Linked DNA regions of Anolis sagrei. The protein of the gene in region 2 interacts with the protein of the main gene of each other region in a pairwise test. Links are inferred from orthologs where the notes say so. Each region holds a gene or a part of one and is shown on either strand. Other genes may lie near its edges.

Region 1 (8,210 bases), on a different chromosome or scaffold from region 2:
AGCTGTCAGAATTTCAGACACAAGTGAATACCTGTCTATTCCGGCAGGCCTACCCAGATAGTCTTGAAATATAAACATGAATTTTAATGCATGTCCATTGTTTAATCTTGGTTTTGTCCATTTTAATATATATTTCATAAAGATGTGTTTTGGTGTGTAACTTTTATGAAGGTACGTTTTATAGAGGTACAAATATGTGTGTACTTGTAGTGTTTTTGCTGTATTTATGTATTTTAATTGTTTTGTAACTCGCCATGAGGAGAGGCGGATAAGAAATAAAATTATTATTATTTGTCTGTCCTATATGTGAAAAACCTATGGTCTAAGCATTAAATAAACTATCTATGTAGCATGACCTTCTGCCTCTTCTGTGCCAAACTACAGTTTCCAGCATCTTGCTGCCTGCAGAGGCACCCTGAGGCGGAGCTGGTCAAACAGGGGGTTAAGGATCACCAAAGGGGTATTTCAATGAGTTCAATGTCCGGTTGTTTGTGGCCTACAACTCACAGAAGGCCTCGCCAGCTTCTTCAATGGTGAGGCATTCTGGGAGTTGGAGAAGGCCGGGAGGGAGGAAGGAAGTGCGCTTAAAAAAACCTCCCCTCCTCCACAACATTGTAATCTAATAATACTAATATATTATATACATTATATATACTACAACTTATGAAATAGTACAATATATTATATAATACTACTAGTATAATATACTGGTAGTATATTATACATACGTATTGTAATATTGTACAATATAATAACATTGAATAGTATTTCAGTATAATGTGTTATTATTTTTGACGTAGATGCCAATTTGTTTTTGGGATTGGGGTTTGGTTAATTTTATCTTTGTTCAGCTTCTCACGGCATTGAATGTTTGCCGATATCTGTTGTAAACCACCCTGAGTCCCCTCGGGGACATTGAGCGGGATAGAAATAAAGTTTTATTGGGTTGCTGTGAGTTTCCCAGGCTGCCTGGTCATGTTCCAGAAGCATTTCCTGATGTTTCGCCCACATATATGGCAGGCATCCTCAGAGGTTGAGGGGTCTGTTGGAAACGAGGCCAGTGGGGTTTATATATCTCTCTGTGGAGTAATGTCCAGGGTGGGAGAAAGAACTCTTGTCTGTTAGAGTCAAGTGTGAATATTGCAACTGGCCAGCTTGATTGAGCACTGAATGACCTTGCAGCTTCAAAGCCTGTTTTATTATTTATCAAAGTTTCATTATTAATTATATTGGGCTATACAATTTATATATATAATTTTGATAACATTGTAATATAATACATTATAATACTAATAATAATACAATATAATATAGAATAATATTCTAAGATAGTAATAAAACTATTTTAAATACTAGCAGTCCCCTGCCATGCGTTGCTCTGGCCCAGTGTGGTGAATAAAATAAAGTAATGTGAAAGTGTGAGTTCCTAATATATGTAATTTCTTTATGCTTGTGGGTAAACACTATTTCTTGCTGTTTCTTTGTCAGTGTTCTCATTACTGCTCTGGAACATGCAACATATCATTGTCCTTCTTTAGGGATCCCTTTCAGATCTATGATACTATATCTTCCTGTGTGTGAATCAAATATATCTATCAATATCTATGGCTGGAGGGCTTTGATTACTTTTTCTTGCCCTGGTGAAAGGAGTTGGACTGGATGACCTTAAGTATTTTCTGTTGGTCATGGGGGTTCTGTGTGGGAAGATTTCCCCAATTCTGCCATTGGTGAGATGCAGAACGCTCTTTGATTGTAGGTGAACTATAAATCCCAGTAACTACAACTCCCAAATGTCAATGTCTATTTCCCCCAAACTCAATCTCTGTTCTTATTTGGGCACATGGAATATTCGTGCCAAGTTTGGTCCAGATCCATCATTATTTGAGTCCACAGTGCTCTCTGGATGGAGGTGAACTATAACTCCCAAACTCAAGGTCAATGCCCACCAAACCCTTCCGGTGTTTTCTGTTGGTCATGGGAGTCCTAGTTTGGCCCAATTTCATCATTGGTGGAGCTTAGAATGCTCTTTGATTGTAGGTGAACTATAAATCCCAGCAACTACAACTCCCAAATGACAAAATCAAATTTTTTGAGTGATGGTCACTCCTTGCTAGTAGGTATGTTGTGGCCAAATTTGGCAGCAATTTATCCAGTGGTTTTTGAGTTCTGTTAATCCCACAAACGAACATTTGTTGTTGTTCATTCGTTCAGTCATCTCCGACTCTTCGTGACCTCATGGACCAGCCCACGCCAGAGCTCCCTGTCGGCCGTCACCACCCCCAGCTCCTTCAAGGTCAGTCCAGTCACTTCAAGGATGCCATCCATCCATCTTATCCTTGGTCGGCCCCTCTTCCTTTTACCTTCCACTTTCCCCAGCATAATTGTCTTCTCTAGGCTTTGCTGTCTCCTCATGATGTGGCCAAAGTACTTCAACTTTGTCTCTTGTATCCTTCCCTCCAGTGAGCAGCCGGGCTTTATTTCCTGGAGGATGGACTGGTTGGATCTTCTCGCAGTCCAAGGCACTCTCAGAACTTTCCTCCAACACCACAGTTCAAAAGCATCGATCTTCCTTCGCTCAGCCTTCCCTAAGGTCCAGCTCTCACATCCGTAGGTTACGACAGGGAATACCATGGCTCTGACTAGGTGGATCTTTGTTGCCAGTGTGATGTCTCTACTCTTTACTATTTTATCGAGACTGGACATTGCTCTCCTCCCAAGAAGTAAGCGTCTTCTGATTTCCTGGCCACAGTCTGCATCTGCAGTAATCTTTGCATCTAGGAATACAAAGTCTGTCACGGCCTCCACATTTTCTCCCTCTATTTTCCAGTTGTCAATCATTCTTGTTGCCATAATCTTGGTTTTTTTTATGTTTAGCTGCATTACATTTTACATTTTACAAACGAACATTACATTTTTATTTATATAGATAGATAATACTACTGAGAATATATAATCATATAGAATGATAATACTGTTTTATTATTGCATATGTTAATTTGTCATGTTTTTTTTATTGTGAGCCGCTTGGAGTCTCCGTAGGGAGAGAGAAAACGGGGTACAAATCAATCAACAAACGCCCAAGCCAGGCCTTTCTCAAGGAAACGCGCCCCCAAAGGCCCTGGAGCGAGGCCTGAGGCCTACCTTTGAAAAGATAGTCGTACTCATCGTCGCGGGAGCCCCCCATGGCGGCGGCTTCGAGGCCTTCTTCTGCTCCTCTTCTCGGCAGACACGGAAGCGACTCAGCCGGCCTCCTCCTTCTTCCTTATCCGGCCCTCCTCGCTCTCTCTCTCTGCCCAGGTCTCCTCCCACACGGATAGCGTTTCCGGCCTCAAACATCCGCTTGGTGGAGGGCACTTCCGGTTCCAGCCGCCATTCCTTGAGAGGGCACACTCCTCCGCCACAAACGGCTTCAATATGGCGGCCCCGCTTCCGGTCCAGGGCGGAAGTAGGTCTAAAACAAACGAAGAAAGGAGATGAAGCTCAAAACGCCTCTAGCGGTGGCGAAGAACAGACCGGAAGTTACGTGTCTTAAAGGAGCCGCAGCATTTACCAATAAGAACATATAATACTATATCATAATATAATAATTGGATATAATATTACTAATCATACTGAAGTATGGTGGTATAGTACAATATAATACAAAAAAACAATATATTAATTGTATATTATATATTGCGTGTAATTTTACAGTGGTATAGTACAATATAATACAATATCACAATATATTAATTGTATTGTCGAATGAACAAAATCTGACTACCAGTATTAAAAAACTCAAAAATTACAACAGCAAAACAACAGAGGGGAAACAATAAAATCACTCTCAACAAAAGATTCCCCCCAGGCACTTCCAAGCCATTGAATGCTAATCAAGGTGGTCAGTTGAAACATTCACAGCTAGCCCCAGCAGACAAAAGTCCTTTTGATATCGAGCTCTTTTGGGGGGCCTCTCCAAGAGAGAAAGCCCTAGGACCGCACCAAAGAGGGTCCTGGTACCTCGGCGAGATTTCCGGGAGCCAATCCAAGCATGCAGGAAGGTTAAAATGTAATCAGCTCACCCGAGGCGGAAGAATCCAACGATCAAGGCGTTTATTTTGCGATTCAGCTGAAAAGGATGCGTTACAGGGATATTTCCACCATAAGCATAATTTTACAGAATTTCCAGGCATTTTTATAGCATGCAGACAAAGGAAAAAACAGTTTCAAAACTCCCGCCGCCCTCTGCCGGCCGGCTTCGCCCTGATTGGCTGTGCCTGAAACAGCTGGGAGGAGGCTGGGCGATCCGCCCCGCCTCCTGGCCAATCAGGACGCTCCCGCCCCCTGGGAGGGCCAATGGGAACCCTCGGCTCGCCTCTGAGGCTAGACCAATCAGGAGCGAGGAGGCGGAGCGGCCGTGGACAAAGGGGGAAGATGATGAAATTTTGGAACCCCCTGCCGCTGGAATGCGGCTTTTGTTCCGGGCGGGAAGAGGGTGATCCTTAAGAAACAAAAGACTTCCTTGGCCTTGATGGGTTTTGGGGATAAATATGAATGGCAATGTCGACATTGGACCACCCGGAGGGTCGACGATGTCTGATTGAATTAATCAGTCTTTTCTTCCTGAGTCTCTGCAAATCTCCTTTTCCCTCTGGCCTTGCTCCGAACGATAGGATCAGGGATTTGCAGCACTGTCCATGCAATTGAGTTAATCACTGGGTGATTGAGGAAGAGGTTGGGGCCCCTTCCTCGGGCAGTTCCTGGTCACGTCGGTTTTTGGGGGGGAACAAGGGTCAAGGGGGTGAGGATCCAGGGGAGTTCATAGGGTTACATACATCGTAATCATAAGGCATCACTACCATATAGATAATATTAATATACAGGCAATATCTCATCACCTCCCACCACCCATCCCAGTTCATCGCAGAAAAAGGCATTTTTATTTATTTCATAATTGGCAAAGAAGGAAACTAAAAAAGTCCCAAAATTCAGGTCGGGGGGCTCGGATGCGAAGGGGGCAGTCCAGGGGTGCCAGCGGGCTGGCAGAAGATCAGTCCTTCCGTCCATCGGGAGCTGGAGCTGAAGGGGGAGCGAGGCTCTGGCGCTCCGTCTCCGGTGTAAGCCACGCTCCCAGCCGGGGATCGGGCCTCCCTGCCCAATCCCCCCCTTCCCAGGGCACCCAGCCGGGCAGCGGCGGTGGTTCCCCTGCGGTGGGGGCCATGCGAGAGCGAGCGGCAGCGAGCGGAGCAAAGCAATCCAGAAAGCCGGCTAAAATTTGACAATCAGCTGTTGCTTGGCCGAATTAAATCATTTAACAAACACAATTTTTTCCCGAGAGTCGGAGCCCAAAATGGAAAAACCGAGATAGCAGTTAGCGTTAGAATTTAATGTAGAAAAATACAAAATTGGAACGGGGCCGATCCGCCATGTTGTTGTTTTGGCGGATAAGGGGGGCCACTAGGATTCCCTCCGTATCCGCGGTTTTTTCGGCCGTAAATTTAGAAGCCCGGGGAGGCCAGGAAGGCATCCCCGGTGAGCTCACGGTTCCCCGGAGCTCGGAAAAAGGTTCATTAGATATGTGGAAAGCTTCAGGCAGTAAAGGACACAAAAGTATCAAGCGGAAAGGATTCAAAGTTGCAAGACTCAAGTGGTTTATTAAGGGTTTTGTTACAAAGGAAGGGAAGGGGAAAGTGAAAGAAAATCAAGAGGTTTCATGCAGTTCTTGGCTGTGAGCTGCGGGCTGGGGCACATTTCATCTGTTGGCCCAACCTGGCCCTCCGGAACTGCGGAACTCCCTGCCGCAGTTCAAACCAACTTGAAGGCAGGAGTCCCTGCCGCTTGGGGCGCTATCATACCCCCACTCGGAAACTGCAGGAGCCGCGGCGGCGGACTCCGCAATGTTTCCGCCCAAGCATTGTACCCAGCCAGGGGCAGCAGGGCCATCTGGCGAGATGGATCAGAACGCTTCCCCTTTTTGCAAATTTGGAACAGAGCGGGAATGTGAGACCAGCAGCAGCTCAAAACCATGAGAAGGACTATGAGACCTAAGAAAACTAGAAAACCCTTCCTGAGCCAATCTAACGAAGGAAGCCAGTCTGTCAAAAAGCTGAGATCAAAGCCAACGGTCTCCTTGATGCCCGCCGCCAAATCATTCATTCCCTCTATGGCCTTACGGACTACAGGGGTCTGGTCAGTCAGATTGAAACAACACATGTGGCGCACACTCTCACAGCCATAGTGATTCTTTAACAACAAAAAATCTATGGCAGCACGATTGTCCAGCACAGCTTCCCTCAGCTCGTGCATTTCAGTGGCTATGGAAGCCAAGGCTTGTGAGGTGAAATTGAGGTTTTTGACCAGAGCACAGGCCAGATGTTTAATGGCCCTGTAGTTCATGCCAGCTGCCACCCCAGGGGTGAACAGGGCAGTTGCTACAAATTGGGGAATGCCCTTGATGACCACAGAAGGATCACAATTTGGGTCCAAGTTTTGAAGGGACCGAGCCTCCCTAGCCAGGGAATGTGCCAGTTCCAGGTCACTTTTGGAAGGCATAAAAACTGACAGCCTACCCAAGGCGCAATTCCCTATGGAGGAATTGGCTGGGAGATAACTATAGGCTGTCTGCCCACACAGGAAAAACCATCCTGGGGGCAAGACCAAATGGGCATTCATGTGAGGCAAGGTCTCTATGGATGAGCAATTCAGGGAGTTGTCCTGGGTCAATTTTTGGCACTTCCCAACGCACTTGGGAACTTTGAAGCAGTGTGGAGCATGGGGGCTATGTGCCAATTTAATCGCCACCATGCCCGGTTCCCTTTCCTTGGCAGCCCTGCCCCATACAGACAGGTCTCTGTATGACATAGGCTTGGATGGGATATGCTGAAATATGGTAAAATTTCGAAAAGTCTCCAGAGGTTCTGGAATTCCGATCAAACAAGTCGAGAATAGATCCGTGGCTGTCACTCCGCTTGACAGACAGAAATCAGAGATATTGAGAACCCTAGATGCCAATTGTTGCCAAAAGTTGGCCTTTGTAGATAACCAGTCATCAATGACAGGACTAGCGGTCCTGCATTGAGAGAGAGAGAGCAGGCAAAGAATTAGAGAAAGATACATGCTGAAATTTTTGGACAGCGACACTCGTGGATTGTAGGAAAATAGGCTTACCACTAGGTGGTGCTAGTGCAGACAGCTCCCTCGCTCTGCCGGCTTGTAGCGAAAAGTGAAACTAGGCTGGGGTGAAGTAGAGGGCGCTCCTGTCAAAATCAGCTGGAACGGCTTTTGACAGACGTCAAAAGCGGGCTGACAGAAACCCGGAAGTAGCGGATTAATAGGTTCCCTTGGTCCTAGGAACGTGGAATTTGGTGGGGATCTCCAGGGGGGCCTCTGGGTCCTCTTGCACGACGTTTTTTTTCGCCTAGAGGTTCTGGAAGGGGGCGGGTCGGCCGGACCACCCGCAGGGGGGTCTCCTGAAGGGGCCTTCCGGAACAAAAGCCTCAGATCCTCCACTGGCTCAACGGTCCACTGCTCGTCGGTCTCCTCTCCCTCAATCGGCCCCACTTCTGGCTCTGGGGCCAATTTCAGCCGGGAGTGATGGATCCAGGCACGGATGCCCTTTACCTTGGCAGCTGTGTGGGTGGTGAGGAGGATCTGGTGAGGTCCAACCCACTTTTCGGTCAACGCCTCCGGTTTGTAGGTGCGAACGAGGACCCAATCCCCAATAGAGAAGTTGTGCACAGGAGCATCCAGAGGGACAGGAAGGCGAGAAAGCAGGTACCTATTCAGGGAAGAGAGGATAGAAGTAAGGAACGACAGCCTTTGTCTAATGCTTTCGGATCCCACCTCATGCAGGTGATCAGCCTTTAAAGGAACCTGAGAAGAAGGAAAGGGCCTACCATAGAGAATCTCAAAGGGACTCAGCTTTAACTTTCCCCTAGGAGCTGCCCTAACTCGAGTGAGAGCAAGTGGAAGGGCATCTGGCCAGGGCAAGCTCGCCTGCTGACAAATCTTAGCCAACTGTCTCTTGATGGTCTGGTTCATCCTCTCAACCTTCCCACTAGCCTCAGGATGCCAGCTGGTATGCAAGTCCCACTTGATCTGGAGGACCTGGGCGACCTGCTGCGTGACCTTGGAGATGAAAGATGCCCCGTTGTCTGAGGACAGACATGCGGGCAGTCCAAAACGGGGGATGATGTGGTTCAGGAGGGCATGGCTTACTTCCTTGGCAGTAC
Region 2 (7,316 bases):
GGCAGCGGTGGGCCTGAGATATTTATTTATGACATTTCAACCCCGCCTTTCTCACCCCAGAGAGGACTCAAGGCAGCTTTACATACAGGCAACAATTCAATGCCCAAAAACACAATGTATATTTAAATAAATATTAAAATAGAATTTAAAAATACATTAAAACAATTAAAACATTTAAAAACTATATATTAAGAGTTAAACACATAATCCACGAGCATAATCCGGGCCATTCTAATGATCATTGCACATAAACCCAAGTCCATCTATTGCACAAGTTCTTTAAAGGCTTGGTCACAAAGCCACATTTTCACTCTCTTGTGGAAGGTCAGAAGTGAGGGGGCTGTTCTAACATCACTAGGGAGGGAGTTCCACAGTCAAGGGATCACCACTGAGAAGGCCCTGTCTCTCATCTTGGTCAATCATGCCTGCAAGGAAGGAGGGATCAAGAGCAGGGGCTCCCCAGATGATCTTAAACTCCACAGTGGTTCATAGAGGGAAATACGTTTGGACAGATAAGCTGGGTCAGAACTGTTTAGGGCTTTATAGGCTAAAGCTAGCACTTTGAATTGTGCTCGGTAGCAAATTGGCAGCCAGTGAAGCTGACGTAACAGGGGGGTTTTATGCTTCCTGTATGCCGCTCTGGTGAGCAATTGGGCTGCCACCCGTTGGACCATTTGGAGCTTTTGAACCGTCTTTAAAGGCAGCCCCGCATACAGCACATTGCACTAGTCTATTCGAGATGTAACCAGAGTGTAGACTACTGTGGCCAAGTATAACTTCCCAAGGTACGGGCGCAACTGGCGCACAAGTTTTAATTGTTCGAACGATCCCCTGGCCACCGCCGAGATCTGTTGTTCCAAGCTCAGCAATGAGACCAGAAGAACTACCAAGCTGTGAACCTGTGTCTTCAGGTTGTAACCCTATACGCTGTTCAGCTGTTTGTTGTTGTACTGCAACTCATGGAAATGCCTAGGTACTATAGCCAATGGGTTTAATGTGGGATCAAGGGAGAGACAGCTCTCAAACTGAAAAGCCCCGGTTTTCCTCAGTTTTGGCTTTCCATTAAACTCTATCTGGGCAACAGATCACAAAAGACAACTCTTGCAGTGAATTACCCTTCAAGGACATCTTGATATACATGTTAACTGCTTACAGAGCAATACCTGCTGCTACTTCCTTCCCTGCTCCTCTTTATTGCTGTAATAGCCAAAGGCCAAAGAAGAAATTGCCAAGCATTGCTCAAAATCAGGAGAAGCCTGCTTCTGTTCTTGGGAAACTCCAGGAGCCATATGGATGACCAAAAAATGAGAGATATGGGGTGTGGCTGGAAGCCTGCTTTCTAGCATTGAAAAACAAGTGTTTGACTTCATATTGAATGGGGGTGGATGGGTCAATGGGAGTGCAACCTGTTTCAAAGGCGAGCTGCTGCTCCTGGAGGCTTCTCTGGGAGGCTATTTCTGAATTGTTGTCAAATGAACTTCGACTTATGGAGAGCCTATTCTTGAGTGACTTCTGTGTTCCCGTGCCATCTTTCAGACTCAGGACAGCCATGGCTTGAATCTATCCATCTGAAATGGGGTCTTCTTACAGTCCTCCATTTTGTCAAGCACTGCTGTCTTTCTAATGCGTGAATTCTGGATGGCCATCTGTCAGGGGTGATTTGAATGCAATATTCCTGCTTCTTGGCAGGGGGTTGGACTGGATGGTCTATGAGGTCTCTTCCAACTCTTTGATTCTATGATTCTTCTCCTATGTCCAAAGTAGGACAGCTTCAGTTTAGTCATAATACATAAATAAAAAAATAAATTGTATTTTTACCTGTTTCTCCTTATGGCTCTTGGCAGGGCACAACACAGTTAAAATATATTATCATAACATAAGTTTTATGAAAACTTATATTAAAACTTATTTTTTACAAAATGCACATATTAGAGTATAGAACAAAAATTAAAATACAACAAGCATAGAACAGTCCTCCAGGCATTTTGGACTTCAACTCCCACAATTGCTAACAGCCTCAGGCCATTTCTGCTTAAGCGGATGAGGGGGGAAAGGAAGGGGCCCAAGGCTGTTGGGAATTGTGGGAGTTGAAGTCCAAAACACCTGGGCTGAAGTTTGCCTGGACCTGATATAGAATGTGAATCTAAAATTCATAGTTAATAATTGCCTGCTGGAAGAGATGGGTCTTCAGAAGTGTCTTGCATTCTGACAACTGACTGAGCTGTCAAATATCTTCCAGCTGCTCCTCTTTTGGACAGCAAAGGAAAAGGTCCTCTTGGATGCACTATCTCTGTGAGTGCATCTACACCAGGCCTGGGCAAACTATACTTTGTTCTAGTGGGTTTTTTCGGGCTATAGAGCCATGTTCTAGAGGTATTTCTCCTGACGTTTCGCCTGCATCTATGGCAAGCATCCTCAGAGGTAGTGAGGTCTGTTGGAATTAGGACAATGGGTTTATATATCTGTGGAATGGCTGGGGTGGGGCAAGGAGCTCTTCCCTGCTGCAGTTAGGTGTGAATGTTTCAGCTGATCACATTCATTAGCATTTGAAGGCCTGTCTGAGTCTGGGAACATCTCTTGCTGGGAGGTGTTAATCTGTGCCTGGTTGTTTCCTCTCTGTTGTTTTGCTGTTGTAATTTTATAGTTTTTTTAATACTGGTAGCCAGATTTTGTTCATTTTCATGGTCTCTTCCTTTCTGTTGAAATTGTGCACATGCTTGTGGATTTCAATGGCTTCTCTGTGTAGTCTGACATGGTGGTTGTTGGTGTGGTCCAGCATTTCTGTGTTCTCAAATAATATGCTGTGTCCAGGCTGGTTCATCAGGTGCTCTGCTATGGCTGACTTCTCTGGTTGAAGTAGTCTGCAGTGCCTTTCATGTTCCTGGATTCTTGTTTGGGCACTGCGTTTGGTGGTCCCTATGTAGACTTGTCCACAGCTGCATGGTACACAGTAGACTCCTGCAGAGGTGAGAGGATCCCTCTTGTCCTTTGCTGAACATAGCATTTGTTGGATTTTCTTGGTGGGTTTGTAGATTGTTTGTATGTTGTGTTTCCTCATCAGCTTCCCTATGCGGTCAGTGATTCCCTTGAAGTATGGCAGGAACAGAGTCAGGAGAAATGCCTCTAGAACATGGCTCTATAGCCCCAAAAAACCCACAAGAACCTAGTGATTCCAGCCATGAAAGCCTTCGACAATACATTAAACTATACTTCCTTTCACTTAAGCATCTGAGGGGGGAAAGGAAGAGGCCTGAGGCTGTTAGGAATTGGAGAGCTGAAGTTGGCCCATGATTGATCTACAGAATATAGTATAAATGCAGTTTGGCACTACTTTTGTTATCGAGCTCTTTTTTGGGGTCCTCCCAGCGAGGGAGATCCCAGAAGACCGCATCACTTTTACTGCCATGGTTCAATGCTCTGGAATCCTGGGAGTTTCAGTTTAGCAACTCACCAGCACTTTTTGGCAGAGAAGGCTAAAGACCTTGTAAAACCACAACTCTTGGGTGAAAAGGAATCCTGTGAGGGAAAGGCTTAAGAGGCCCTGGAACAATGTGTTGTCGAAGGCTTTTATGGCCGGGTTGCTGTGAGTTTTCTGGTCTGCATGGCCATGCTCCAAGCATTCCCTCCTGACGTTTCACCCACATCTATGGCAGGCATCAGAGGTTGTGAGGTCTGTTGGAAAGTGATGTTTATATATCTGTGGAATGTCCAGGGTGGGAGAAAGAACTCTTGTCTGCTTGGGACAAGTGTGAATGTTGCAATTGGGTTGTTGTAGGTTTTTTGGGCTATATGGCCATGTTCTAGAAGCATTCTCTCCTGAAGGAGAGAATCAAGCTGCAATTGGCTAGCTTGATTAGCAATGAATGGCCCTGCAGCTTCAAAGCCTGGCTGATTGCTGCCTGGGGGGAATCCTTTGTTGGGAGGTGTTAGCTGGCCCTGATTAATTTTTGTCTGGAATCCCCCTGCCAAACGTCAGGAGAGAATACTTCTGGAGACATGGCCATACAGCCCGGAAAACTCAGAGCAACCCGGCCCTGGAGTAGTGTGGTGGGAGTCTCTTTCTCAGGAGATATTTTAAAGCAGGGGCTGAATCCAGGCCATTTGTCAGGAGTATCCCAGAGGGTTGGACTAGATGGCCTTTAGTGGTCTCTTCCCAGTTTAGGATTCCGTTCATGAGTGGATAGAGTGAGAGAAGGGGGGTCACGTGAAAGCGGGGGGGGGGAGAGCTTTCGGGGAGGTCACGTGACCTCTCCTCCTCCTCCTCCTCCTCCTTTCCTGCCCCCTCCCCCGCCCATCCCTTCTCCTCCAGCTGCGGAGGCGTCCGAGCAGCTGGGCTGGGAGGGTTTCCAGCGCCTGCCGCAGCGGCTCCAGGAGGGGAAAAGCCAAGGCAAGCGGGCCGCCCTGCATTGAAGGCGAGCTCTGCGCTCTGCCTTGCAAGGAAGGAGACCCGACCATGGCTATGGCTATGGCTATGGCTATGGCTGCGGCGGCGGCGGCGGAGGCGCCCTCCTTCTCTTCCTGAGGCTCCGGCGGCCACGTCCTTGGAGGCAGCATGTGGCGCGGGTAGGTGCTGCGGGTTAACGGGGAGGGTGGCAGAAAGGGCACCGAAGGGGGCTGCTTCCCCGGGGCCTTTTGGCCTGCCTTCTGCTCTGCACCAAGGAGGGGAGGCTTGGAGAAAACCCGGTGCGGAGGTTTTACAGCTTCAAGGGTGCATCTACACTGCGGAATGAATGCAGCTTGACACCACTCTCACTGCTGCCCTTCGCTTTCCCTCCAAACCACAGGATTCCACAGCAGAGCCGTGACAGTTCAAGTGGTGTCCAATCGCTTTCCTTCCACAGTGGAGAGCACCCCAAAGGGCAGCAGGGACCACTCTGTCTTCCAAGTCGCATCTCGCTTATGGTGACCCTCAAGCACCCCGTCACATTAGTTCTCATCACACTAGAGAACGAATCCACTTTAAATCCGGTTTCTGCAGAATTCTGGGAATTGTAGTTTAGGGAGGAACCTTTAACAGCCTCACTAAACTACAAACCCCAGAATTCTGTAGGAGGCAGAAACCAGTTTTAAAGTGGATTCATTCTCTAGTATGATCAAGTAGCTTGACACGATTTCTTCCAGAAGGTGTTTGCAGTTCCCTTCCTTGGGCTGAGAGAGAGTGACTCACACAAGGTCATCCAGTGGGTTTCCATGGCCCACCAGTGGTTTGAACCCAGGTCTCCAGAGTCATCATCCCAATGTTCAAGACATTTTGTCACACTGGCTCCTCTGTGGGTTGGGATTGTGGACAGAGGCGGCCCTAGGTAATTTTCAATGGTAAGCAAACAGTATTTTGGCACCCCCCCCCCCCCAACCAATCACTGATGTATATTTTCTGTTCGTCGTGGGAGTTCTGTGTGCCATATTTGGTTCAATTCCATCATTGGTGGAGTTCAGAATGCTCTTTAATTGTAGGTGAACTATAAATCCCAGTAACTACAACTCACATATGTCAAGGTCTATTTTTCCCCAAGAGTGCCTCAAGAGCGCCCCTGGGCAAAATCAACTATGCTGCAAATGCTTACTTTGCGTAATGGGTTGAGCCACCCCTGATTGTGGATGTGGGAGACTTTTCCCCGCCTTGCTTTGCACCCTCCCCATTCTTTCCCATGCTATTCCTCTCCTACTCCCCAACTTCTATTAGTTCAAGCCTGAACCTGATGGGCAAAGGTCACCCAAGGATGGGTGGGAGGCATGAGACTAGAAGTTGCAGATGAAGGGTCTACCTTCATTCTACCTGCCAAAATGCTAAAGACCCTCAGGCACCCCATCACAAGGTTTCCTAGACACGATTTCTTCCAGAAAGCATTTGCAGTTCCCTTCTTTGGTCTGAGAGAGTGTGACTCACACAAGGTCACCCAGTGAGTTTCTGTGGCCCAGCAGAGATTCTAACCCAGGTCTCCAGAGTCATAACCCCAGCATTCAAGTCTCACACTGGCTCCTCTGTGGGTCGGGGTTGTGGATGTGGAAGACTCCTCCTCCTTTGCTTTTCATACTCTCCATTCTTTGCCATACTTCCTCTCCTCCAAAGCAGAATAGAGGGGTAGCATTACTTCCCTAGATCTAGGGAAGTAATGCTACCCCTCTATTCTGCTTTGGTTAGAGCACACCTGGAATATTGTGTCCAATTCTGGGCACCACAATTCAAGAGAGATATTGACAAGCTGGAATGTGTCCAGAGGAGAGCGACTAAAATGATAAAAGGTCTGGAGAACAAGCCCTATGAGGAGCGGCTTAAGGAGCTGGGCATGTTTAGCCTGAAGAAGAGAAGGCTGAGAGGGGATATGATAGCCATGTATAAATATGTGAGAGGAAGCCACAGGGAGGAGGGAGCAAGCTTGTTTTCTGCTTCCCTGGAGTCTAGGACGCGGAACAATGGCTTCAAACTACAAGAGAGGAGATTCCATCTGAACATGAGGAAGAACTTCCTGACTGTGAGAGCCATTCAGCAGTGGAACTCTCTGCCCCGGAGTGTGGTGGAGGCTCCTTCTTTGGAAGCTTTTAAGCAGAGGCTGGATGGCCATCTGTCAGGGGTGATTTGAATGCAATATTCCTGCTTCTTGGCAGGGGGTTGGACTGGATGACCCATGAGGTCTCTTCCAACTCTTTGATTCTATGATTCTATTCTATGAACCTGGAAGATCACTCAAGGATGGGAAAAAGGCTTGGGACTAGAAGTTGTGGATGAAGGTTCCTTTTAGTTAGCTGTCTTCTAGCTGCCAGAATGCTAAAGACCCTCAGGCACCCTGTCACAAGATTTCCTGGACATGATTTCTTCCAGAAGGCCTTTGCAGTTCGCTTCCTTGGTCTGAGAGAGTGTGATTCACATAAGTTCAACCAGTGGGTTTCTGTAGCCCAGCAGAGATTCGAACCCAGGTCTCCAGAGCCATCACCCCAAGGTTCAAGTCTCACACTGGCTCCTCTGTGGGTCGGTGTTGTGGATGTGGTAGAATTTTCCCCACCTTGCTTTGCACCCTCTCCATTCTTTTCCATGCTACTCCTCTCCTCCTCACCAACTTCCACTAGTTCAAGCCTGAACCTAATGGGCAAAGATCGCCCAAGGATGAGTGGGAGGCATGGGACTAGAAGTTGTGGATGAAGGATCCTTTTATTTAGCTGTCTTTTAGCTGCCACAATCACATGTCCATAGCAGGAGGAGATCGATAATCTGGTCTCCAGAAGTTTGACCCTCCAGTTGAATTCTGAAGAAAAAGTAAACACACCATTCAGAACTGTTGTTGTGGAGTGCCTTCCTGTCATTGTGATTTAGTAGTAAA

The links. The genes of interacting proteins can lie anywhere in the genome.
Region 1: the proteins of RAB3IL1 (region 2) and RAB11A interact in a two-hybrid assay, tested with the Homo sapiens proteins (2 studies listed by BioGRID and IntAct). The two-hybrid records come from large-scale screens. The link is inferred for Anolis sagrei from reciprocal best matches to the Homo sapiens genes RAB3IL1 and RAB11A.

The regions. Positions count from the first base shown.
Region 1 is NC_090029.1:25,563,937-25,572,146, forward strand, and holds the start of RAB11A (ras-related protein Rab-11A), read right to left. Parts: upstream 3,337-8,210; 5' UTR 3,185-3,336; coding exon 3,142-3,184; intron 1-3,141. UniProt on the Homo sapiens protein: The small GTPases Rab are key regulators of intracellular membrane trafficking, from the formation of transport vesicles to their fusion with membranes.
Region 2 is NC_090021.1:237,453,264-237,460,579, reverse strand, and holds the start of RAB3IL1 (guanine nucleotide exchange factor for Rab-3A), read left to right. Parts: upstream 1-4,282; 5' UTR 4,283-4,552; coding exon 4,553-4,563; intron 4,564-7,316. UniProt on the Homo sapiens protein: Guanine nucleotide exchange factor (GEF) which may activate RAB3A, a GTPase that regulates synaptic vesicle exocytosis. Promotes the exchange of GDP to GTP, converting inactive GDP-bound Rab proteins into their active GTP-bound form.